Xenopus tropicalis: one gene and its partners. The protein of the gene in region 1 interacts with the protein of each later gene in a pairwise test. Links are inferred from orthologs where the notes say so. Each region holds a gene or a part of one and is shown in the gene's direction. Other genes may lie near its edges. The genes, in order: traf3ip1, kansl1, smc4, ift20, ccna2, abi2 and sfr1.

The links.
Region 2: the proteins of traf3ip1 (region 1) and kansl1 interact in a two-hybrid assay, tested with the Homo sapiens proteins (2 studies listed by IntAct). The link is inferred for Xenopus tropicalis from reciprocal best matches to the Homo sapiens genes TRAF3IP1 and KANSL1.
Region 3: the proteins of traf3ip1 (region 1) and smc4 interact in a two-hybrid assay, tested with the Homo sapiens proteins (2 studies listed by BioGRID and IntAct). The link is inferred for Xenopus tropicalis from reciprocal best matches to the Homo sapiens genes TRAF3IP1 and SMC4.
Region 4: the proteins of traf3ip1 (region 1) and ift20 interact in a two-hybrid assay, tested with the Homo sapiens proteins (2 studies listed by IntAct). The link is inferred for Xenopus tropicalis from reciprocal best matches to the Homo sapiens genes TRAF3IP1 and IFT20.
Region 5: the proteins of traf3ip1 (region 1) and ccna2 interact in a two-hybrid assay, tested with the Homo sapiens proteins (2 studies listed by BioGRID and IntAct). The link is inferred for Xenopus tropicalis from reciprocal best matches to the Homo sapiens genes TRAF3IP1 and CCNA2.
Region 6: the proteins of traf3ip1 (region 1) and abi2 interact in a two-hybrid assay, tested with the Homo sapiens proteins (2 studies listed by BioGRID and IntAct). The link is inferred for Xenopus tropicalis from reciprocal best matches to the Homo sapiens genes TRAF3IP1 and ABI2.
Region 7: the proteins of traf3ip1 (region 1) and sfr1 interact in a two-hybrid assay, tested with the Homo sapiens proteins (2 studies listed by BioGRID and IntAct). The link is inferred for Xenopus tropicalis from reciprocal best matches to the Homo sapiens genes TRAF3IP1 and SFR1.

The regions. Positions count from the first base shown.
Region 1 is NC_030685.2:60,708,000-60,712,250, reverse strand, and holds the start of traf3ip1 (TRAF3-interacting protein 1), read left to right. Parts: upstream 1-1,451; 5' UTR 1,452-1,598; coding exon 1,599-1,721; intron 1,722-4,251.
Region 2 is NC_030686.2:17,302,963-17,306,944, reverse strand, and holds the start of kansl1 (KAT8 regulatory NSL complex subunit 1), read left to right. Parts: upstream 1-1,182; 5' UTR 1,183-1,214; intron 1,215-1,659; 5' UTR 1,660-1,797; intron 1,798-3,982. UniProt on the Homo sapiens protein: Non-catalytic component of the NSL histone acetyltransferase complex, a multiprotein complex that mediates histone H4 acetylation at 'Lys-5'- and 'Lys-8' (H4K5ac and H4K8ac) at transcription start sites and promotes transcription initiation.
Region 3 is NC_030681.2:114,790,607-114,794,590, reverse strand, and holds the start of smc4 (structural maintenance of chromosomes protein 4), read left to right. Parts: upstream 1-1,184; 5' UTR 1,185-1,759; intron 1,760-3,519; 5' UTR 3,520-3,525; coding exon 3,526-3,634; intron 3,635-3,984. UniProt on the Homo sapiens protein: Central component of the condensin complex, a complex required for conversion of interphase chromatin into mitotic-like condense chromosomes.
Region 4 is NC_030678.2:47,412,886-47,416,897, reverse strand, and holds the start of ift20 (intraflagellar transport protein 20 homolog), read left to right. Parts: upstream 1-1,212; 5' UTR 1,213-1,491; intron 1,492-4,012. UniProt on the Homo sapiens protein: Part of intraflagellar transport (IFT) particles involved in ciliary process assembly. May play a role in the trafficking of ciliary membrane proteins from the Golgi complex to the cilium.
Region 5 is NC_030677.2:66,838,343-66,841,062, forward strand, and holds part of ccna2 (cyclin-A2), read left to right. Parts: intron 1-437; coding exon 438-661; intron 662-2,127; coding exon 2,128-2,332; intron 2,333-2,720. UniProt on the Homo sapiens protein: Cyclin which controls both the G1/S and the G2/M transition phases of the cell cycle. Functions through the formation of specific serine/threonine protein kinase holoenzyme complexes with the cyclin-dependent protein kinases CDK1 or CDK2.
Region 6 is NC_030685.2:54,209,841-54,213,340, forward strand, and holds part of abi2 (abl interactor 2), read left to right. Parts: intron 1-450; coding exon 451-618; intron 619-1,338; coding exon 1,339-1,515; intron 1,516-2,607; coding exon of another isoform or gene 2,608-2,625; intron 2,626-3,500. UniProt on the Homo sapiens protein: Regulator of actin cytoskeleton dynamics underlying cell motility and adhesion. Functions as a component of the WAVE complex, which activates actin nucleating machinery Arp2/3 to drive lamellipodia formation.
Region 7 is NC_030683.2:27,807,280-27,809,852, reverse strand, and holds the end of sfr1 (swi5-dependent recombination DNA repair protein 1 homolog), read left to right. Parts: exon of another isoform or gene 1-45; intron 46-314; coding exon 315-686; intron 687-1,613; coding exon 1,614-1,805; 3' UTR 1,806-2,073; downstream 2,074-2,573. UniProt on the Homo sapiens protein: Component of the SWI5-SFR1 complex, a complex required for double-strand break repair via homologous recombination. Acts as a transcriptional modulator for ESR1.

The DNA.
Region 1 (4,251 bases):
ACAAGGGCACCCACTCCATTTAGAAGAAGGGAGGTTCCGTTTAAATATTCAGGAAATGATTTTTTACTGTGAGAGCTGTGAAGTTCTGGAATTCCCTCCCCGAATCAGTTGTACTGGCTGATACATTATATAGCTTTAAGAAAGGGTTGGATGGCTTTTTAGCAAGTGAGGGAATACAGGGTTATGGGAGATAGCTCTTAGTACAAGTTGATCCAGGGACTGGTCCGATTGCCATCTTGGAGTCAGGAAGGAATTTTTTCCCCTCTGCTGCAAATTAGAGAGGATTCAGATGGGGTTTTTGCCTTCCTCTGGATCAACTAGTAGTTAGGCAGGTTATATATAGGCATTATGGTTGAACATGATGGACATACTTCTTTTTTCAACCTAACTTACTATGTTACATTCTGTCTGAGGCACGACCAGTTGAACAATGGCAGACACAATGGCAAACACAGGGAGCATATGCCTGCCTTATGGTGATAGTTTTGTAAATACAGACTGGGTCTCACTGTATATAATGTGCCTGGGATGTCAGTACCCACTGCCTTTCTCACTATAAAACTAACTAAAACACATTTAAGCTAACTGATCCTAAACACAAATGGATGGAGAACCCCTCACAGAAGTGCATGTATGAATATTTTTATATCCTAAGCATGTTAGGGTGAAAATACACCCCCATCCGCACTTTTGCACAGTATCCCTGGAAGTCAGTGGGAACGGCAAGAGGTAGTTGGGGGTTCATTTTTTACATCAACAGCCAATCCACTAAGTTTCACATTAGCTGTAGGTCAGTCTATGCATGGCCCATCTTTAGCCTCCCCGAACAAAAAACTCACCCTCCGCCTATGCAGTAGAAAAGAAAATCATTTGCCAACTTAAATTCATTGAATCTCATGAATTTGCACTATTATAAAAAAGCCAACAGGCTTTGGGATATATGGCAATTCATAAATGTAGGAAGGGGATAATACCAATGACTGGAGATAGAAATACTGAATGTTGGCTTGCCAGAGAGAAATATAAAAAAATGTACCCAGATATAAACAAAACAAACGAAATAAATGGTAAATTATTTACGTGAAATTGAATAGTTTGCCATTTGGGTTACAAATGTGTGGGCCTCATATTACAGGGTAATGTAACTGATGGTACTGCACCTCATATGATTAAAGAAAGCACAAACGCAACACGTTCGCCCCCTGGCACAATACCCCTGGCATCCTTTAGTCAGTGCAGTACCCTTTATAGCTAAAGTGCAAATGAGTAGGACCCAGCTTTCTGTTTCCCAATGAGACCCTCAGCTTTCATTTCATTTAGTGAACGTTGCACCTCACACCTTACTAGTTTACGCAATGAGTTTGTATAGTGTGTTATGACCTAATAGAACCCCACCCCGCGCTCTGTTACTGTTGGTTCCCATGACAGCGGACGCTTAGTAACAGGAGAGGCGACGCATGCGCAGAGGTCAGAACGCAATGGCTTGTGGGTAAGATAGGGTTGCCTGGCGCTGAAGAGGGCTGTAGCCTGGCGCTTGTAGGGAAGTGGTGGCTGCAAGTTAGGGGAGCTGAGGGTCGTGTGTTTAGCTTGTCAGTGAGATGGACCCTGCGATTATTGGGCGCACTCAGGAAACCCTGGGGAAAGTGATTCGCAAACCTCCTCTTACCGAAAAACTACTGGGAAAACCTCCGTTCCGCTATCTGCATGATATCCTGACTGAGGTGAGCTCACGGGCTTCTGTTTCTTTTGGCAAGGGATGCTGGGAAATGTAGTTCTTGTACAAGTCAGGGCTGGAATTAGGGTAGAGCAGAGAGTACATTCTCACTGGGCCCTGGTAGTTCATGGGCACTTTGTAATAATTGTTCGATAATTTGCCTATACATTTTATAGATGTGCAACCTGCGGCCCTCCAGCTTCATGTAAACTGCAACTCTCAGCAATGTATTCCACCTTCAGCCAGAGAGTTGGGAGCAGCAGCTGATGGGCTACAGGTTGGGTATCACTGGGTATATGCTGCCCCAGCATGACTTACTGGGGGGGGGGGGGGGGGCACTATTTAGCAATATCTGCCACTTACTGACTGACTGCCATGCTGGAGATCTCTACTGTCTGTATCTCCATACCCCCTAGTTTGCCAGACTACCTACACTCTGTCTTTATGGGGTGATTAGGAAACCATATCTCTTGGATGTGTGAGATTTCAATGTCTAGGATTCCTTCCACATCGCTGGCTCTTTGGGTTGGACCAAAGTTGTAACATGCTGCATAATCTTCCCAAACCTACACTGTGTTGCTTTACATTTTATTCCTTTGTTCGGCTGATTTTATGGAAATATTGGTGCCTAAATTTAAAGAATTCATAGAAAAAATTACCCTGACATCGCCAAACGAGCAGATCTTATGGGGACTGCTCTCTAGCCAGGACCTCCGTACTGTGTGATATTTCTATCCCCACATGATAGCTTGAGAGGAGGCTAAAACACACAACTGTTTTACTTACATTACTTGACTGTCATAGAGTCTGTGCAATATTAATATCTCCAATAATATAAATGAAATAATTTGCAGTGGTGAAAAATCCAGGTCTCTGTGAAATACACATGAATCTTCTGTTTTAATGCAATGTGGCCGAGAAGTCCATGGTGGTGTGCAGAACATTTCTTGTCCTGTTTCCAGGCAAATTATGTGAATGCCCAGTAAAAGAGAAATCTGAAGTTAATTGGGCTGCATCTGACATTTCTAGGTCTGGGGAATTTAAAGGCTAATAAACCTTAGTGTGTGGCCTCCCATTCTATTTTCCATAATGTCTTTGTGCCAACACCCTTTCTGGTTGTAGGTTATAGCTTTTAGCATGTACTGCGTTGGGTAGTCTATGGCAGTGTATAGATGTCCTGTGGCACCTGCTTCATGCCTGGTTGCAGATAGACCCATATGCTTGTTTCTGTCCAGGCATAAACATGAGAATAAATCACAAACACAATCTGGGCGATTACACCGATTAATAGGTCAGTACCTTCTATCTAAGCAGTGGTGTTTTTTCTTTCTGTGTACACAAAAAGGAAAATCATAGGAATAAATCTCCCTTTTGGTTGCAGGGTATACAAGGAAGCATTTAAACAGCATATAAATATATAAATCTAACTAGGCATGCCCATTTGGTCAGTCTTGAGCTTTCAGCAGTTTGCTGTTCTGCACTGGTGGCCAAGTTGCCTTTAGATGTAATTGCACAATACAGGTATCGGACCCCTTATCCGGAAACCCGTTATCCAGAAAGCTTCGAATTACGGAAAGCCTGTCTCCCATAGACTCCATTTTAATCAAATAATTCAGAATTTTAAAACTGATTTCCTTTTTCTATGTGGAAATAAAACAGTACCTTGTAACTGATCCTAACTAAGATATATATAATCCTTATTGGATGCAAAACAATCCTATTGGGTTTAATTAATGTTTTATTGATTTTTTAGTAGACTTAAGGTATGGAGATCCAAATTACGGAAAGACCCCGTTATCCGGAATACCCTTGGTCCCGAGCATTCTGGATAATGGGTCCTATACCTGTATCACCTAGAACAGGAGCCATTTTGGAGAAACATATAATAATAGTACCAAGGTTTTGTACTGTAGGTATATGTGAGATAAACTGACGAGTAGCTATAAGAGCAAATCTAGAAAGGCAAGGTGCTGCTTTGTGCAGTCTTAATCACTTACTTAAAAATTACTTGCATGTAGCACCAGTGCCTAGTTCAGCCTGTTGCGATAAATTGCACACAATGCAACATACAGGGTACATGGATGCAAAGGAGCAGTCATGAGAGGGCTGGCCCAAAAACTTCTAAAGGTGGCCATACATGTATCAATTTTGATCTTTTGTGAGACCATTGGTCGCATGAAAGATCGTTCCCACCCTCCACTGACGTTCAGGGCTGAATCGTCAGATATGGAGGTTGAAACAATAGAAATTCTATCTCCACCTGAAGGCACCTGATCAAAATCTTTTAACCTGGCCGATCGACGAGTAGACCAATATCTGCAGCCTTTTGTAATATCGTTTGCTTCTTTGAGCAGCCATACACGCACCGAATATCGCACGAAACAAGGTTTCGTACAATATTATCGGTGCATGTATGGCCGGCTTAATGCCGCACCAATACACAGATCAATTGAAGAGATGTTATTCCTGGGTTTCCTTGGTTGTTGTGCCTATCTGTATAACTGACCACCTACAACCTAGTGAATAAAACCCTAAAG
Region 2 (3,982 bases), on another chromosome or scaffold:
ATTTTTCCTCTTTGTTCCTATTCAGAAATTGGGAATGACCATGAAGTAGGCCAAATGGTCAGGAGCAGGAGGGCCCACTGACGCCTGGGCCCACCGGGAGTTTTCCTGGTATCCTGGTGGGCCAGTCCAACACTGGTCAGGGATGCCACATACATGGGCCAGTAAGCTGCCTTAAGGCCAGCTCAGAAATGCTTAGCTGATGTTCAGTTTAAATATATATTGGAGAAAAGTACCTCAAGTTATGGGGGGGGGGGGGGTAACCTAGTGACATTTAGTTATACTTATGCCCTTTCTGCAAGCCTAACACTGAGACAGACTGAACCATGGAAGTGAGGTGAAGTCAGCACAGGACAGACAGGCTCTGGCACCTAAGGCAGCCAAATAGTGGGGTATATTATATAAGGACATATTTATAAGGGGAAAATATTTCAAATATGCTACTAAAAGGTAAAATTTAATAAATATGCACTTGTGTCACTGCTGTGCTTTGGTACAAGAAATTCTGCTTTTATCTGTGGCATAGATATCAGGAAGTGATTTCCACATGTTATTTCATGGGCAACAAATTGTCTTCAGATTTTAGGCTAGGGATAGCCAATATGTGTCCCAAAAGCTTTTGTTGAGCTATATAAGCCTTCAGGCCAGTGTGAGATTTACTAGTAATGGGGTGTGGGGGTAACCAAGTTACTCCTGGTAACTGCCATACATTGAGCTTATGGTGGCATTACACTTGTGCTCTTCAATTCCTCTCAGAGGATGCTGGGAGCTGTAGTTTAGGAATAACTGGGACGCTGTGTGACAGACCCCACATTCTTGCGCATTGAAGTCTCTTTGTGGATGGAAATTTTTACATAAAGATATGGTTCATGGCCCCCCCAAAACCATAACCCACTTTCCAGCTTTGGATATAGAGTATCCCTCCCTCGTCACTTCTCTGCAGATTTATAAACAATTAATTCAGCGCTCATGGTGCAAAGTGTCCCTATTTTAGCGGTCTCCCCATGTCCCATTAAAGCCCCCCTCCCCCTTATTCATATCCTGCAACCAGACACACAGTAGGGACACAGTAATCGCACAGGGCCTCGCCCCTTACAGCTTGACGGACAACTCATTAACCAATCGCGCGAAGCTCCTCCGGACCTTCACCAATCCGGAGCTTGCAAGGGAGGGTAAAGGGTGGCACCGGAGCCAGCAGTACTGGTTGAGCTGTGCAGGTAGGTGCAAACTGAGGGGTGCTTGGGGTGTGGGGTTCATGCACCAGGTGGCAGTGGGAGTGGGGGTAGAGCACCCCTGGGCATCCAGAGGAGGCTGGGCAGAGATGGAACAGCCCATTGCAAGAGTTGGGGATGAAGGGGGCTGTGAGGAATTCTCCAGTATTCTCTAGCAGTCAGCAGGCCAGATACACTAGATACTGGAACTTTATAGGATCAGCTGTGGGGGGAGCACAGCCCCAGTGCACACTACCACACTGTGCCACACATGCAGGGCAGACACTACTTATACTATATATGTTCACTCATACTAAATACATACAGGGGAGAACATACAAATACCACTGTCTACCAGAGTCCACCCTATTAAAAATTTCCACAAAATAAAAAAAAAAAAAAACTAAATCAGATAGCGTGAGTGAAAAAATATGACTATTTGTGATCCTAGATATCAATGGATGATGCAGAGGAACCCCCCAAACTGGCCTTTGGCAGACAATGCTACAAGGATGCCTCCGAGGAACAGCCGGGATGAGGCAACAAGGATCCATGGATCAAATGAAAATCGGTACAGTCTGATAATATGGTGAGTAAGCGCCATGCTTTTATAATGTGAGTCTTTAATAGCACTGAAAGGACAGGACAGGTCCTACAGAAATTCCTTTATCTCCATTTATTCTGGGGTTACAGTAAAAGAGTGGTAACCATAAAAATGAAATGAAACACATATAAATCTTATATAATTAGTGATAATTTTAATGCAAACTGCAATGACTTCTAAGCAGCATACAGTGTGCCTCTAAATGATGATAGCGGATGTCCGGTATTAAAATGTGCAAGCAAATGTGAGGCCATGGACCTCTGACGGAGGTAGGCGAGATGGCAGGCATTTTGTTACCCTCTGTCACTTTTCCACTGGAAGGCAGTGGCACACAGAATCCTTGTCCTGTGCCATTAGCCTAAATATCTGTAGTGGGAAAAGAAATGGGTAGCAATCCAGTGCACATTGCTAAGGCTGCACATCCAGACTGGGTGCCCATGGCTGAAGGGAACAGTAACTTTCTTGAAGTAAACACGACCCACAGCTTTGCCTTACTAATGCTGCTCCTTGCCTTACAGCTCACCAGCATTGCTCTTTTCTTTCTTGGGGTCTGGATGAACTTATTTATCTCGACTTCTCATAAGGAGGTCTGGAATGGGATATAAAATAGGCCATGGCATATCATGTACAGAGAGGCCAAAAAATCCCAATAAATAGTGACTGTCTATGGCAGGGGTGTCAAACTCAATCACATAAGGGGGCCAAAATCTAAAACACAGGCTAAGCTGCGGGCTGAATTTTTTATTAAGATACTTAATCTTACTAAAGGATAGATCCTTCCTCACCCTGAAACACCATATCACACGCCATCTTCGTGCATTAATTATGTTTTGAAAATAACAGCAGTTCAGGCCGCATGCCTTGTGTTTGACACGTGGTCTATGGCATCTTATACCAGCCCCTCTGGCATTTGCCAGAATCTGTAGACTGCGAGTCCGGGCCTGCTCATAGGACATGGGTCACATCAGACAAGTGGATTAGTTAGGGGATGGTGAGATAGCAGTCAGGGTTAGTGGTTCATGTCTTGGAAAATCCATGGTAGGGATGGTCTATGGGTAAAGCCAGATGGTTGAATATTACAAGAAACATCCCTTAGACCCTGTTCCTCACTGTTACCATTTGTGAGTGTGGGAGTCCTCATTGCTGACCATAGTCGATAGGGATCATTGACAACACAGCCTATCACTGGAAATGGTAATGCCCTGGGGCCTTTTACTAGATGCTTCTCCCAGCTGCTTTAACATTAGAGCTTGGTCTGCCTCTGCAGCCTGCTTAATTTGTGAGGAGCATGTAATTTTAAAAACGTAGTCCATATACTATTAAAAAAATATGGGGCAGCACCTGGCCATTCTACCTTTAATTATCCTATTTCCTCTGCAATTATGCTTTTCTTTGTTCCCTTTTTATTTTTTTAATTCAGTTGCCAGCTTCTTTCATGATATCCCACAGCCAATTCCATGTGTAATACCCCAGAACACATAGCAACAAAAATGCTGTGGAAATTTAATTTAAAATACATCTTAGATTACCTTGCAGGATTACCTGTAATGTCTGTTTCACATAAAATATCACAGAAACATAGTAGGATAAATGCATTGCCAATTCCATTTATAATGCCCTCAGAACTTATGCCTGTTCCATATATAATGCCCCCAAAACACATGCCAGATCCATATATTTAGCCCCCAGAACACATGCCAAATCCATATATATAATGCCTCCAGAAAAAATGTAATATAATACAGTCTCAGTTTCATGCATAATAATCCCACAACACATGTGAGGACAAGAGGATTGGTTATCAGGGAATATGAAGTGGGTCATTACCTAGGGAATCTAAAAATTATGGAGGATGAGGAGGATGATTTATGAATTAGGAGAGGAATTTTATTATGGGCAAGAATTTGTAAGTGTCAGTGATCCAGCTATTCTGTAATTGCAGATCTCAAAATGTAACAATTAGCTGAGCTTGCAATGCATGTTGAGAGTTGTAGTCGTGTCACAGTGGCAGAAGCACTCTACCCCTAATGTAGGACAGTGGTCAGGATTAGAAGGAGAGGTGTGACAGTAGGAAGCAAACAATAATAAAATTTAGATGTAAGAAAGACAACCCTCTCAAGGTCTATTTAATTTACTTGAGACTCCTTGAGATAACTTCAATTTATTACAA
Region 3 (3,984 bases), on another chromosome or scaffold:
CTGGCTGGAAAAAGGGGCTACATGCACAGTTCTGAGCAGGTGAAGGATTAAAATTAAGGCAGGGCTCCTAACTTTTGTTAATATTAAAATATTTCCAGACCCTTTGGTGACAGCAGGAGGTTGATCAAGGCTATACAAAAGGTGAAGGCCATTAGTATCACTGTGGGCAAGTCAGGAAACTATGGCTCTGTTATCAATGGGGTCCACAAAGAGGAAGGTTTGTATATTACTATACAAACTTGGCAGCACTGACCTAGAGCTAGATTACTACTGGACAAAAAAAATAGGGTAAGTACAACCTACTTAGATCAGATCTCACACATGCGACACAGGGAGGATAGTTACACCGGGCAGCATTATTCACCTGGCCCTTAAAGCATTACTTGTGTTGGAATTTACAGGAATCTTTAAAGTTGTAGCTTCTATAGGCCCAAAATAAGAATGTAGTTTCTGAAGGAAATCGTGCTTTGGGATCACTATATATTTGATCTACGCATCTTCAAATAATTCGGAGGCAGCTAATAGTATGTTAGACACCGTAATAGCCTGAGCGGTATTAAAACTTCCTATTGTACAGATCTGGCAAGCCGCAGGATACTTATTATATAAAAACCGCATACATTACAAACATGCAAGCGCAAATCCGCACGTTACCTGCGCTGTACTCCGCTCACACGCAGGCCTTCTCCTCCGGCGATGCTTCAGTTCTGTATCTATCGGCGGTCGCTATGGTTACTTCTCGCGATACTTAGTCTGATTGGCTCTCTGCCTTTCTGCCTATGGCTTAGCGCAGTGACGTACTGGGAGCCGTAGGTTAGGTACATACTGATATTTTAGCTTCCAACTTTGTAATAGTTGAATGTGGTAATAACAAATACAATACTCACACATTAAGGGAAAGCTTTGACGCAACGTTTTTATTCAACTCGTATCGGGTCAAGGGCATAAATGTACTAAACCATCCCAAAATCATTAATGGTTACTTCACATTTCTTTATACGTCAAAATGTTCAGCCAGGCGATTAAAACTACATACTGTATATCTTAATTTCACTGCGTATATCAATATGGAAATATATTATAGAGTAAAATAGTATCTTTCCACTGTACTTTATGTACTTTATGACAGGCACTAGCCAAAACCAAAGATGGCCGATGTTTTGCTACCTCGGCGGCTCACACTGTCCTCCACCCTCCAATCACCGTCCTTCTCACATCTGTAAGAAAGACAGCTCTCCTCACCCCTCCCACTTGGACAGCTCATACACTGGCACTCCCATTAGTGTTGCCACGCAACCAAGCCCCGCCTCCAAACCGCCTTAAAAACTGAGTTGTAACTGTTCTATAAGTATGCATTTAATTCTTATGAATATGTTTTGAAGCAAGTATAACTTTGTTACTCAGCAAGCGCTCGTCGCGTGTAACCATGTGTTTGTATAAACTGTAACTCTCTGCTTACTTCTTCTGCTGGATGAAAATGGCATCCGCACTCTGAATTTTTTTTCAAATCTTGAGTGTCAGCTCCCAGAATGCCATGCGCCGTGTAACGAATTTCGGTTCGAGTTTGGATTTTGGGCGCCATTTTCGAGTGGAGTAGCTGAGCAGTCAGGGAGGAAGGGCTGTGCGCAGTCCCAACTTGAAAACAGCCGTTTGGGAGACGAAAATCATTCAGTCAGCGCTCGGCTACAGCTCGAAAAATCGGCAAAAAAATCAAGGAAGCCACTGTTGAAAGGGGGGATTGACTGGAGCGATTTTTCAGGTGATTTTCCGCCAAAATTGTCATTTTTTAATTTTAGCGGGCTGGAGAGGTGTGACAGGCAGAGGAGCCGCCGCTGCCCCCATACACGGCACAGGCACTTATTTCTCCTGATGGCCGGCGCGGACATTCTCTCTTGTTCCTACGCTGCCCGGTGTGTGGAATGTAGTGCCCGGCTCTCTCAGTGGGACGTAGTGCCCGGCTCTCTCAGTGGGACGTAGTGCCCGGCTCTCTCAGTGGGACGTAGTGCCCGGCTCTCTCAGTGGGACGTAGTGCCCGGCTCTCTCAGTGGGACGTAGTGCCCGGCTCTCTCAGGGGTGCCCACTGGCACTTCCCGTTATTTTCTCCACACAGTTAGGATTGCGTGTAACCCTATCTTGCGAGGGATGTGCAGCCTGCTGCTTCTCAGCTGTCCAACCACAAAGCCTGATGCCGGCAAACAGCTGGAGGGCTGCTGCTGGTGGGACGCTTGATATATAGAAATAATGGCACAGGCGATTGTGAGCAGCTGCGAGGCTGCGGGAATGGATACCCTCGCTGGATAGCATTGATGTCACAACAGCAGCCGGAGGGCCGCGCTTTCAGACAGACTTTACTGATAATACAGAATGGGTTTTAGCCCCGATTCCTTGCAGTTGATTTTGCTTGACAATAACGGGGTCTTCGCCTTTGCTTCTCCTGCTGTTGCTAAACTGACTCTGGAACTGTCAGCCAGGATTCAGGGTGGGTGCTGGGAAATGTAGTTTAACAGGTGGGGGGGGGGGGTGACATGCCTGACTGTCAACTGACACTAGAGCAAAGGTTTATTGTAGTGGGTGGGTGTCACATGTATATGGCTTTGTACTAATGTATCATTCTGTTCTCTCGGATTATTATATCTCCTCATCTTCACCCCTCGGGCAGCTACACTGATTCGGCATACTAATGAAAGCGACATGGTATCGGCCGAGTAGAATCCCTTTGCGTCTCGGAGGTTACGGATCTCCCCCCAAATCTATAAAGCCTTTAGCGATGGATCTAATGGATGTGTGACTTTCGCATGAGCAGTGTGGCAGCTCCCACACGTACTAGTTCTATTGATACAAGAGAGGAGTGCAGTTAGCGCTGCCTTGTGCTCGGCTGAGCACTTACCAACAGAGACCATTTGTGATGCTCAGACCTTTCCTGTCACACGGACTCGGAATATCAGTGGGTCTGTCCCTCCCGTGGGTCTCTCACTAATCGCCCCCATATGAATAGTTTCGCTAAGTAGTTTGTGTTACATACACAATAGGCCATTATAGCGCTGTAACACACGGCTCTATCTGGGATAGGTTAGTAATCCCTAATAAGCAAAATGTCATATTTTTTTTTATTTTTCGTGTAAATTGCCCTTTTTTTGCATACAGGGTGAAGTGCACAGTACTAATAGTACACTAGGCTGTATTGGGTATTTTATTTGCTGGCAGAATAAAGTAAACAGCGCTAAATACACTTGGCTGTGTTAAAACCATTCATTTTAATCTGTATACAAATACCCTGACTTCTGTATCTGCATTCAAATAACATGACTTCTTATTACACCGGACTGTGCAGATCGTGTTCTTTACATACAGAGTAAAGCGAATAGTTTCAATAGGATATGGTATTTACATACAAAGCAAAGTGAGTAGCGCTAATAGTATATGGTACAGGCCCGGTTCAAGCGCTAACTCTGCTTTGTTGCCAGTGAAACAGCGTGTGCCCTAAGCGCTTTCTCATGGGTTTCTTTATTCCATTCCCAGGGCACCATGCCACCTAGAAAGACGAAGACGGCGGTGGCCAGAGAGGCCACAGAGAGCCCCATGGATGAGAGCGTCAGTGTGGCACAGGCAGGGCAAGCCGAGGCACCTACACAAGGTAAGCAAGTTGTGCCATTGTTGTACGGGGGATGGCTGATGGGACCGTGTCGCAGCAGGTTGTCCGAGTTCCTGGCCGACTGTTACATTGCATTCATTAGAGCGTCTGTGCAGCGGGCTCACAAGGGTCAATGTCACGTCGAATGGGAAATGTGGGGGATTTTTGTTGCGTTTTGCTCTGACGGGTGCAACCTTTAGGGGAAACTGCCAGCTATCTGTGTCCATTGCGTCAGGCTGGAAGGCACGGCGTTTCCCAATAGAGACCCAAGCGGACAGCCAGTGGCCTTTAGAAGGGGTGGGGGACCGCAGCCAATCGCTGAGGTACTTTTAACTCTTTATCTGTCGGGATGG
Region 4 (4,012 bases), on another chromosome or scaffold:
TACTGTAATTCCCTTCCTGGCCAGGCCTCCCCATACTGTTACTGTAATTCCCTTCCTGGCCAGGCCTCCCCATACTGTTACTGTAATTCCCTTCCTGGCCAGGCCTCCCCATACTGTTACTGTAATTCCCTTCCTGGCCAGGCCTCCCCATACTGTTACTGTAATTCCCTTCCTGGCCAGGCCTCCCCATTACTGTTACTGTAATTCCCTTCCTGGCCAGGCCTCCCCATACTGTTACTGTAATTCCCTTCCTGGCCAGGCCTCCCCATACTGCTACTGTAATTCCCTTCCTGGCCAGGGCCTCCCCATACTGCTACTGTAATTCCCTTCCTGGACCAGGCCTCCCCATACTGTTACCTGTAATTCCCTTCCTGGCCAGGCCTCCCCATACTGTTACTGTAATTCCCTTCCTGGCCAGGCCTCCCCATACTGTTACTGTAATTCCCTTCCTGGCCAGGCCTCCCCATACTGTTACTGTAATTCCCTTCCTGGCCAGGCCTCCCCATACTGCTACTGTAATTCCCTTCCTGGCCTCCCCATACTGTTACTGTAATTCCCTTCCTGGCCAGGCCTCCCCATACTGCTACACGCTAATGTGTCGGTCGGTACATGGCCCTGCATGTGAGCCATCCCTCTGTATCATGCTATGGGCGTGTGGCTGATAATAAGCCCCTGTGTGACAGCGCCCCCAGTGGGGCAGTTCCTACAAGCCGTACCTCCGTGCCGCATCCTCTGTCCCACACACACCTGCAGCTACACGGGTTACTACTAACAACACTACATACAGGGCGCTCCGCTTCACTCACTTCCCCACATCTTCCTCCATCTTTTCCACTAGCTGAGGTCACTTCCGCAACTTGTTGCCACAGAAACCGCCCGCACAATCATCTTGGGTCAAGTTAGGCACCGCCCAGCGCCAGGGCATGCTGGGAAATGTAGTAGCAAGCTATACTGACCTACGCCGCAGCTTTACGCATTTTAGGCAATAACAAACTAAACTCCCGGAAACCCATGGCGCTGTCCCTCGGCATTAGTTCCCTGGTCATCGCTTAAACCTCGCTAAAAAGAAGGAATTAATACTAGCGGACATATTTAGTTCTGGATTTACCGGTTAGAAAGTCGTGGGCTTTAACATGACCTTTTTTTATAACTGCAGACTTTTTACTCTCTAAAAATGTGTGTACGCCAGAACAACTATATCTTATGTGAACGCAGTCAGGCACCTGTGGTAATACACCTCCAGTATTAAATATGTTCTCAATTTGCATCATATCGCTTCCAACAGAGATTTAGTCACTTTCCGTGAGGACGATTCGAAGCTCAACTACACAATCAAGTTTCTGGAATAATGTTTTGCCAGTATGCAACATGGCGCCCACATACTCAGCTTCCGCTTTGTCACTATGGAATCTAGATTGTGTCCTAGGAAGTGACGTCTGTAAACAGCAGCGAGTTGTATCCGTGGCAGCTGAAGCCGAAGGGTACCGGGAGGTAAGAGCAGCTGGTGTGGGGCAGTAAATGTGACCGTTCCGGGGACTTTGGGGCTAATGGAATAAAAGGCGATAATTCTGATACTGAGCAAGTTACTCATAGCATCCAGTCTGCAGGTGGCATGTCGTTGTTACAAGCAAACATCTGGTTGCTATGGGTGACAAGCCCTTGGCAAAAATTCCCAAATTCATTGCGCTCCACAGAATTTTCAGCGTTAACAGGGCAGCTTTTGCTGATTGGCAGCTCCACCTTGTGGGACTGGGGTAGGAGACAGTCAGTCAGCAACAGATACAGCGGCATAGTAGCCTGGAACATTCCTACACTAGTATGTGTCTAATAAATAACACAATTATCTTCATTATCAGCTTTATGAGATGTACCTAGTGATTGTATTAGGCTGAGGCTGCTTACAGGGCTAGTGTAGGGCAGGCAGGACAGAGAGGGGCAGTTCTGGGGCACTATGGGGCAAACTGGCCTTTGTGCTCAGAAACCTGCAGCCACTGTGCATAAGGAAATCTCATCCTGTCTGTGCACTTAGTGCATCCATGGCAGGGGAATAAGGTAAGAGTAAGAGGCTTGATGCTATAGGGACACCCATATTTGTGTGAGCATGATGGGATCTCTCTGTTATCCTATTCAGGATAGCCACATAGTGTTCAGGGTCTGAAAGAGATCCATCATCTTTGTCCCTCATCACAAAACCGAAGGCAGCGTTTGTTAATGTTTGTATTTTTTTTTCATGATTCATATTTTCATGTTCTTTTGGTTTTTGTTTTGCATTTTAGTTCTTTCAACAAATGACTAGACACTTGGGGGCACATTTACTTACCCACGAACGGGCCGAATGCGTCCAATTGCGGTTTTTTCGTAATGATCGGTATTTGGCGATTTTTCGGAAAATTATCGCGACTTTTTCGTTGCCATTCCGAATGTTGCGCAAAATCTGGCGATTTTTTCAGAGCGTTAAAACTTAAGCGAAAAGTTGTGCCTTTTTCGTAGCCATTCCGAAAGTTGCGCAAAATGTTGTGATTTTTTCGTAGCGTTCGGATTCATTCAAGCTTCAGTATGGTGACTTTTCTTGGGCCAGGTTGGAGCTGCAGGGTGCCATTGAGTCCTATGGGAGGCTTCCAAAATCTTGCTAAGTCTGAAAGTTTCGCCCGCCGCTTACGAGCGTTCAATACGAAAAAGTCGCGACAAGATACGAGCGAATCTTAATGGCTACAAAAATTCGCGTTTTTCGCGCAAATCGTATTGGTAACGAAAAAGTCGCGACAATTTCCGAAAAGTCGTAAAGGCGCTGAAAAAGTCGCAAAATGTTCATTTTCCAATCTGAATTTTTCCAATTCGAATTCGTGTCTTAGTAAATCAGCCCCTTGGTTTTAGTGGAAATGAGTTTTTTCATGGTTTTTAGAAACCTCTAAAACCATGAATTTTAGAGTAATATAGTAAATTGCAAATGTGCCCCAGCATTTTGTGCCAGTGTGTGGTATTCCCTGTTACATCACACAATCATTACTAAGATGGGGGTTTTTCCATGCTCTGTACTGCTAAAGACATAGTAAAGCAGCCCTCTCAAATTTCTGAACAGACAATAAAAACATGTTTATTTGTACCACTTTTGTAATCAGCCCCTTTGACCTAGAAACATCAGATTTTGGGGCTAACTTTCTGTATAGATGCTTTATAGGCTCAGGTTAAAAGGCTGAAGTTCATTGATAGCAGCATCTCATGTGTAAAAGATGTATTACACTGATAGGTTCTTGAATTTGAAATAAATAAATAGATCTTCTTGATGAGTAAAGCCAAATAGATCTCTCATTTGATGCAGAATAATGGCTTGGGCAGCAGATGCCACTGTTTTTACTGAAATCTATAGATAAGGTGCTTTAATGTATGTGTTACTCCCACTCCTATCAATAAATATCCAGTTAATGAGAATGCCATAGTCCATAACATACTTACAGGTAATTTTCAGGTGGACTACCACTTTAAAGTAAAACGTAACCCCAAATGGCTTCTGTTAATTTCTCTTTTGGCAAAGAGCTACTCTGCAGCTTCCCATAGCCAACAGTTGTTTGTCACATAAATTGAACCCTTCCTCCCTCAATAAGTTACTTTCTAGGTGCTGTCACGACATGAGGATTTTTAAGAGATCTTAAGATGCCCATTTAGTCGCTTGATATATTTTAAGAATACTGTGGTGGGGGTATCTTTTAACATTTGACCAATAAGTCTGCTACCACAACTGTTGTTACTTCTCAGATGTAGAAGGCAACCGCAGGATCGTCATGTGAAAGAACCACAATAATAGCAGGAGTCAGAAGGATAGGTGGTTCTTAAGGGATTTGCCTGGCTGGTGTGAGAGAAGCTGGGGGAAATGAGCAGAATGGGCTGCTCTGATTTCTTGGTGTGGTTGATGACTGCGGGCACCATTCCCTTTATTTATTTATTGGTTTGTGGCAAATCCCTCTGGTGACATCACAGATGACTGGGTTGGGCGTGGTTATATAACTGAAAGCAT
Region 5 (2,720 bases), on another chromosome or scaffold:
GGAATTCTACTTTTATTGTGTAAGTTAGAGGCATGCCTGGTAGAGATGGGTAACATGCTAGTGCTGCTTTAGAAAGAACTTAGTGGCTTAATTCACAGGGGGTGCCTAACCCTTTGCCACTTCCTCCCCTCTGAATTAGGCTTTCCTTGTCCTTTAAAGTGTTTACCCTTTAGAGCAGTTTCACATGGGCATTTTCATCACCCCTGTTTTATAACTGCTATTTTTGTCTGCCTCATGAAAGAAATGGATTTAATTTTCCCTGCGTGGTGTTACTCCCCGTTACTGGTGCTGTTTAGTGATGGTCGTGTCTGTCCCATTTCACTTTGCCAAAAAGTTCTCGAAACAACATTTGCAAAATGCATTGATGTCCATGGGTGACAATTTTTACAACTTTTTTTTTAATCTGGTTATTAATACTGCATCTTTGTCTTCTGCAGGTGAAGTGTAAACCAAAGTCTGGGTACATGCAAAAACAACCGGACATAACAGGCAACATGAGAGCTATTCTTGTTGACTGGCTTGTTGAAGTTGGTGAGGAGTATAAGCTGCAAAACGAAACCCTGTACCTTGCTGTAAACTATATAGATAGGTTTCTTTCATCTATGTCCGTATTGAGAGGCAAGCTCCAGCTGGTTGGAACCGCTGCAATGCTTTTAGCATCGTAAGTAGAAATAGCACTTAATAAAATAGCCATAAGAAATGGTTAAATGGAGGTTCTTAAATGAGTACTGTCATGGGGGGGAAAGTGTTTTTTTTTTTTTTTTTTTTTTTTCTTCTAAAACTACATCGGTTAATAGAGCTTCTCCAGCAGAATCCTGCATTTTTTTTTTCTTAATTTTGAAATTTCAAGTGTAGTTACCCATATTTATTTCCCAGTGTGCCACAGCCATGTGACCTGTGCTCTGATAAACTTCTGTCACACTTTACTGCTATGCTACAAGTTTGATTGATATCACCCCCTTCCCCAAGTAAGATAGAAGCTCCCGTAGATATGAGAATAGCACTCAATAGTAAGAAATCCAAGTCTGGCTTGGGACTCCTCCAATTAAATGGGAGTAGGAGAAACAATAGGTTACCTGAAGGCGGTTCTAATGTGTAGCTCTGGCTTCTTCTGAAAGCTCAGGATCAGGCACAATGCACTAAGATGGCTGCCTATATCACCACTACAAAAATATATATTTGTTGCCTTAAGAATAAAATGTTAAATGGTAGAGTGAATTATTTGCTATGTAAACGGTGTAATTTAGAAATAAAACAATATACTGTAAAAATGACTGAATCCCTTTAACTACACAGCTAATTATTGGAGTTCTGAAGGGTTATAAACCCCATTTAAAGCAGCTTATATCCACATCTGTAAATGTTTTCAGTTTCTTAGTTTGTCTTTTAACATCCTTCATTGGCACGCACACACATTCCCATTGCCTACTTTGTCACAAAAGTTTTATAATTTTGTACTGCATTCAAAATCTGAACTCTTGATACTCGGCAAGAAAACTTTTTTTTTAATTCTGCATCCTTTTTAAAGTATTTAGCTTGCTGCTGGGCAGTTATGTACAGCTCTCTGGTTTTCAGTTTAAATATTTTCTCAAGTGGCTTTCACAGCTTTAGTGAATATACAGTTGTGTGTTAGTGCACTGTGTTAAAAGAGCTGTAACACCAAAAAATGAAAGTGTATAAAAGTAATTACAATATAATGTACTGTTGCTGTGCATTGCTACAACTGGTGTGTGCCTCAGAAAGACTACTATAGTTTATATAAGTAAGCTGCTGTGTAGCCATGGGGGCAGCCATTCAAAGGAGAAAAGGCACTGGTTACTTAGCAGATAACAGATAAACCCCCATTATATAGGGCTTATCTACTAGTTATCTGCTATGTAACCTGTGCCTTTTTTCCAGCTTGAATGGCTGCCTCCATGGCTACACAGCAGCTTATTTATATAGTAGCTTTTCTGTAGCAAAAACACCAGTTTTTTGCAGAGCTACAGCACATTATATTTTAATCACTTTAAAACACTTTTTTGATGTTACTGTTCCTTTCATACTATGCCCTGGAATCCTGTTTTAGGCATAACCAGGTAACTCTTGGTTCAAACTGCCTTTATAGCTTCTTTTTGTTTTGTATAGAAAGTTCGAAGAAATCTATCCTCCTGAAGTGGCAGAGTTTGTTTACATTACTGATGATACATACACAAAGAAACAGGTTCTCAAGATGGAACACTTGGTGCTGAAAGTTCTGTCGTTTGACCTTGCTGCTCCAACAATCTTACAGTACCTCAATCAGTACTTCCAAATACAACCAGTCTCTCCAAAAGTGGAAAGCCTAAGCATGGTATGTATGCACCTATACAGATGTGACTATTCACTTCATACAATGGCTTTCTGACAGCTTAACATTTCCTATCCACCTCCTCACTTGATTCTGGTTGACAGTCCTGCACTGTACATTATTTTGCTCAGGTCCCTTTAAAGGAACAATTGCTAACATGAGAATTTTATATAGGCTTTCTCATGTAAATAAACTTTCTGTATTTTTGGGAATTGGCAATCTTCTCTTCCACCAGAAGCTGGTCAGTTTGGTTGTCTAATCAAAGGAGCATGCAAATTTATTTGACCTAACTGTCAAAGTATGTGCTTATTGCACACAGCTCCATGTAGAGACAAACTGCTTAGGGGGATGTAAGAGTAACTTGAGTATTAATATTCCTTTCCATGACATG
Region 6 (3,500 bases), about 6.5 Mb from region 1:
TGTTTAAGAAAATATACTTCATACTTAAATTTACATGCATTAAACTAAATACACACATACACACAAATTTACTACATAGAGCAAGTATATACCTATACTACTACTTTTCGATAATGCAACAGAATGTCCGCACAGATGAACATCAGGTAATTAGCAGTTATCGCAACATTTTTTTGTGGTACTTTGTAATCATGAGAGGAATTCAAGCTGTATTCAAGTTCATTTTTGACTATAGGGCATTGTCAATGTGTCTTTGTACACATTTATAGCAGCAGATATTTCCCTTCATCATACACTGGACCCTTGCTTTGCTTTGATTTTGGTTGTTTTATAGAGTCAGTTTTTACTTAACTTCTATGTAATATTATTTTAAATGTACAAGATGCATTCTCTGGTTAATAAAACTGAATTACATCATACAGATGCACTAATGTCTTCGTATGTGCTTAGTCTCCAGACAAGCAGAGAGCCCTAGAAGAAACCAAAGCCTATACAACACAGTCTCTAGCTAGCGTGGCTTATCTGATCAACACCTTAGCCAACAATGTCCTTCAGATGTTGGATATACAGGCTTCACAGCTTAGACGAATGGAGTCATCCATCAATCATATTTCACAGGTAAGAAATAACTTTTTTTTATAATTGTTGTAATATAGTTGTCTGCTAATTTAGATGACTATTTCTTTGTATCTTGTTTCTTTAACTCATTGGGTGGCATGGTTATCTGGTTTCATCTGTCACATATTGCTATATCTTAGGTCAGGGGCTCACAGAGCGGATTGTCATTTTCTCCACCTGCGGACAAACCACTCTATGTGCCCCTGGCCTTAGGGTGCTTACACAAGTTGCTTCATCATCCAGTGCGAGATCTTTCCCGCAGGCGTTGAAGCACCAACAATATATGCCCCTTTGCATTCATTGGAATAGCCACATATTATATGTGGTCATTCCAACAAATGTGAATGTGCAGGTATTGTCAGGTGCTTTGTTGCTTATGTGGGAGGAGATTTTCCATGGGGCGACTAAGCACCCCGTATATCAGGGCCCTTAGGCTTGTGCTGCTCTGGGCTGTTTCACTGCCTGTGTGTAAGTGCAGACCCGAGAAACAGCCACTCCACTTGCATCCTCCCTTTCCTGTGTCTGCACCCAGAGGCACTGCTTCATCTTGCAGACACATGGAACAGATATGCTTATGACTTTCAGAGAAAGCTTGAGGGAGGGAAATCATTGTTATGCCTATGTGATTAAGGGTAAAGGAGTATATGGTAACTGTGAATTGCATCTGTATGAGGCTATATATAATGAGGCTGTTTAATTTGTAATTATTCTGGTTTTTAGACTGTGGACATTCATAAAGAAAAAGTAGCTAGAAGAGAAATTGGAATTTTGACGACCAACAAAAACACCTCTAGAACACACAAAATAATTGCTCCTGCCAACTTGGAGCGACCAGTCCGTTATATTCGTAAACCTATTGATTACACAATTCTTGATGACACTGGACATGGAGTGAAGGTAGAACATGCTTGTAAAAATTCTATTCTATTCTATACTTAAATATATTCCTGTTTGTATGTGTTCAACGTATACTATATACATAATGGGTTTTAATTAGGGGAAAACATTTTGTCTTACACTAGAGAATTTGGCACACATTGCATGATTGTAAGAAACATACACAATTTCTTTTTGGGTTTTGTATATGATTTAATATCTCTTAAACATAGGGCACAGTTTAACTTTATTCAGCATTCATACATACACATACATTTTGATGTGAGTGGGATATTTATTTTTGGTCATGCTGGGCTATTTTCTGTTAAAATACCCGTACCCGAAATAATTCTTGAGTAGCATTTGTTGGGTGAACTTATGCAGCTTTAGCTGTACACACATCACTTTGTCAATAGGCACTTAAAGGAATACTGTCAGGGAAAAACATGCTTTTTTTCAAAATGCATCAGTTAATAGAGCTTCTCCAGCAGAATCCTGCATTGAAATCTGTTTTTCAAAAACACAAACAGATTCTTTTAATATTTAATTTTGAAATTTCACATGGGGCTAGCCATATTCTTCATTTCCCAGAGTGCCACAGCCACCTGAAGAAAATACTAAGCAACTTTACAGTATACATTCATTTCTGATTTTCAGTTGTTCTAAAGTTATTTTTAAATGTGTTAAAAAATAAAAGCTGTGTTTGCCCTTTTCTGCACTGCTAGTTCTAACTGTTTAAACAGTGTAGCAGAAGCCATATCTCTTCCAGCCAAGACTCTGATTCCCACAATGCCTTGGGTACAGCTTTCCAGTTTGTTAATCATCTGGCCTCTTCTACATTGTTTTAAGGCTCAGAACCAAAAGGGCAGAGGTTAGAAATGGACAAATACAAATACTGTTTTCAGTATTAGTGAATATTATGTGTGTGTAGTAAACATGCCATTTTACTATTTCTTGTACAGTTCATAATACATTTTGCCTGTAACACATTGCTTTGCATTATGTTGTGTATGTACCAAAGGTGTAACTTGCTTCTGTTTTCTTTATTCTCATTTCTTGTTAGAACCAACTAACTTTTCAATTTGCTTTCATTTGCTTCATTTGTGCAATAAGTGGTTGCTTAGATTTAAGGTAAGAAGTTTTGGGGATCAAATACATATTATGTACTAAGAGATTATTATACATAGGGAATGTTGACCACGCTGTATTTCGTATAAATTTACCTTGCTTTTGTTAATGGAAACAATATTGTCATTCAGCTGGACACGGAATCCTAAAAACTTAATCTTCCATAAAAGAGTTTGTCCTTAATAATTGCATATTTAGATTTAAGAAAAATGAAAATTTACATCATCTGTGAGCAAAAAGTAGTCCTATGTTAATGCTCCCCTTTCCTGATGGCCTGCATTGCCAGCAGTTATGACCTTACGGTTGGCCTGAGGGACAAACTATTGGATTAGCCTGATACTGCCCTACTCACCAAATGAGAGGATCTATAGGCATGTGGCCAGCTTTATACTCATATTTGCCTATAGATAATGTGTGTGTTAAATAAATATATGCTGAAAAACTACCTGTGGGGAACTAATAAAATAAGATAATGAATAAAGCTTTATGAAGAATTGTACTATTCCTGAGGTTATATTTTTCTAAAAAAAAGATAAGCAGGTCTAACCTACCTTACTTTACCTGAGTATTACCTTATCTCAGTCAGATTCACTAGCTGGTGGTGGATCCAAGAGGTTTTACAATGTATAATAATATAATATTATATGAATTATAATATAATTTTTTATGGTTTCAGTATCCGCTTAGGAGTTACATTGCATTTGTGTTCTTTAATTAACACAATGAAGAATCATCAGTTGAAAAAGACAAATTAATTTTAGAGTAGATTAATAATATATTTCAGATAAGTTTGTAAACAAGATTCTTCCTCAAATCTGTCCCATGCAATATGATGCCCGATGTGCGGTTATAGCTTGCCACTTTGCCACTCAGGGGTT
Region 7 (2,573 bases), on another chromosome or scaffold:
GGTGAAATATGGGGAGACTTAAGGGCACTATTGAGACAACTGAAGGTATGCCTGCATCTTGAGATTATCTCTTTATTAGCCTTTCCTTCTCCTTTAAAGGATATCCTAGGGTGGAAACAGGGCAACAGGCCTTTGATAGAAGCAATTATTGTTGTTTGTACTTTTCTATATTTTAATATTGCACATCGCTGCGTACCTCTGTAGCGTCTATTAAATAAAGTTATATGTACGTATGTTAAGTACTTGATGACATTGATTGGCCTTGTAGTCTGAATTGTTCACATTACTTTTGCTATCAACAATTGTGTTTTTAGCCCATGAGTGCAACACTAAGGGAACGGCTCAGAAAAACCAGAAGGTCATTTAATGGTGCATTTTCAGTGGCAAAACGACTCAAAGTTGATTGTGAAGAAAATGAAAGTTCCTCAGACTGTCCCAATAATAATTTGCCATCACACAAAGACTCAGAATTAAATGCTACAAAAACAGACGTTAATTTCGTATCTGTGGAAGATGTACACAGATTAAGTAGCGGGACTTCATCTGCAGCTTCCTCACCCATCAATTCCAAGGATTCCTTCCATCACCAGGAGATGCTTCAAGAAAAAAAGTTACTGCTAAAGAAGGTGAAGGAGAAAGAAGATACTTTGAGGAGATTGAAAATGGCGAAACTCTACAGATCTAAGGTCTGCCCTTACTGTATAAATGTACTATCTTTATGCCAGGAGGGGGTTAGGGAAGCTCAGCAGGGGCCCCTGGGGGGGGGGGTAAGGGAGGCTCAGTGGGGGCCCCTGCAGGGGTGTAGGGGATGCGGCCGGGCGCAGGCACCTGCAGGGCCCCTGGGGCAGCAGCCTCGGTGGGCCCTGCACCCCCCCAGTCCAACCCTGGTTGGGTGGCCAAATAGTCCTTGCCTCTCGCTCTGTCCATGTGTCTGATGCTGTAACCCTGCCTTTTCACCTGTCTTTCTCTTGTTCCATTGGCCCCTAAGCACTGGGCACTGACACACCAAGCATACTATATACAGTGTGAGACAATGATTATTGGCCCCTCAAGCACACTATAGAAAGTCAAATACAGTGTGTACCCTGAGGTAGCAGTATGAATGCAGTTCCCACTTTGTGTTTAATGTCCCAGAACACATAGCAGCATTATTGGGCAGTCATTGTTGGGGATGAGCTGGACAGTGTTATGTGCTTATTCCCGCTGGTTCAGGGCCCAATAGGTCCAATTGGCTTAAGGCCGGCTTTGCATCAAGTTAAACCTTTTATACCTATATATAACCTGCCTAACTGCTAGTTGATCCAGAGGAAGGCAAAAAATTTTAAATTTCCTTTTCTTCTGTAATAAATAAAACATTAACTTATACTTGATCCCCACTAGATTAATAATATATCCTTATTAGAGGCAAGACAATCCTATTGGCTTTATTTAATGTTTAAGTTTAAGCATTGGCTGTGCTTTATGGGAGAAAGCACTGCTGGATTTTAGATCTTTTCTGGCTAGTGATTTCTGTGTAACAGATCCCATGCTTGTATTACTAATAAAGGTGTTAAGACAGCTGCAATTTTCTATATGGTCTATATTTATAGTAGTCTTTATTTTCCCTATTTTAGAACAATCTGTCTGAATTACAGTCTCTAATAGAAAAATGGCGGAAGGGCAGCCAGCTCTTACTGTATGAACTGCAAGCAGCGTTATCAGCCGAGAATAACAAGGTTACACTCACACAGTTAATAGAAAGCTGCGGGCTGGATGAAAAATTGCTGCACTATAGCAGAACAGAAGAGGATTTTACAGATCAGTGACATCTTTCTGCACTATTAATAAGAAAAGAACTACTGGAACACCTTCAAAGAACAGAAACTTGTTTGTCTTCGTTAATAGTTGGTATTTATGTGAACAGAATATTTTTCATAGTAATATAACTAATATTACATAATTGTAAACATTACATTTCAAGTTTTTACTTACAGGCTAAGTGCCAAAAAAGTTGTTAGAAATAGAAGAGGAAAAAAAAAACCATTTCTTTCATGCTTCTATTTAAAAACAAAAAAAATAAAATAAAAAAGAGCATATTGACTTTGTAATCATTACATCAAGCACCTATTTATATGTACCGTATGATTACTGGTGTATAAAGGGGGATGGCAGAATGATTTTACAATATATTAAACACTTGCCAGCAAGGGTAGCAAAGTGTAAGTGGCATCCTAGCATTTAACTTCTAATGGCCACAGGTGTGGGGTTTCTACAAAGCATAATGGGTTAACCTGTGTTTCAGGTTAAGGAGAATTAATTTGGGAGCTGTATTATGGGTATCAGGTTATTTGTGGAAGAGGTTTAACATCATTTGCTAACATTTTAATGTATTATGCAGGGTTACACCTAAAATTGTCCCCCCATTGGTGCTGCACAATGCCACTGGTGTGGGTGATACAGCTAGACACTTGTGAAATATCTGCATGACTGCTGTTACAGTATTGTTACCCCACTTTCAGTGTGAACATTGAGGACAATAGGTCACCTATGTTGATGACTGCTAAAAGGTCTCTGCTTATACTTTAGCTGATACC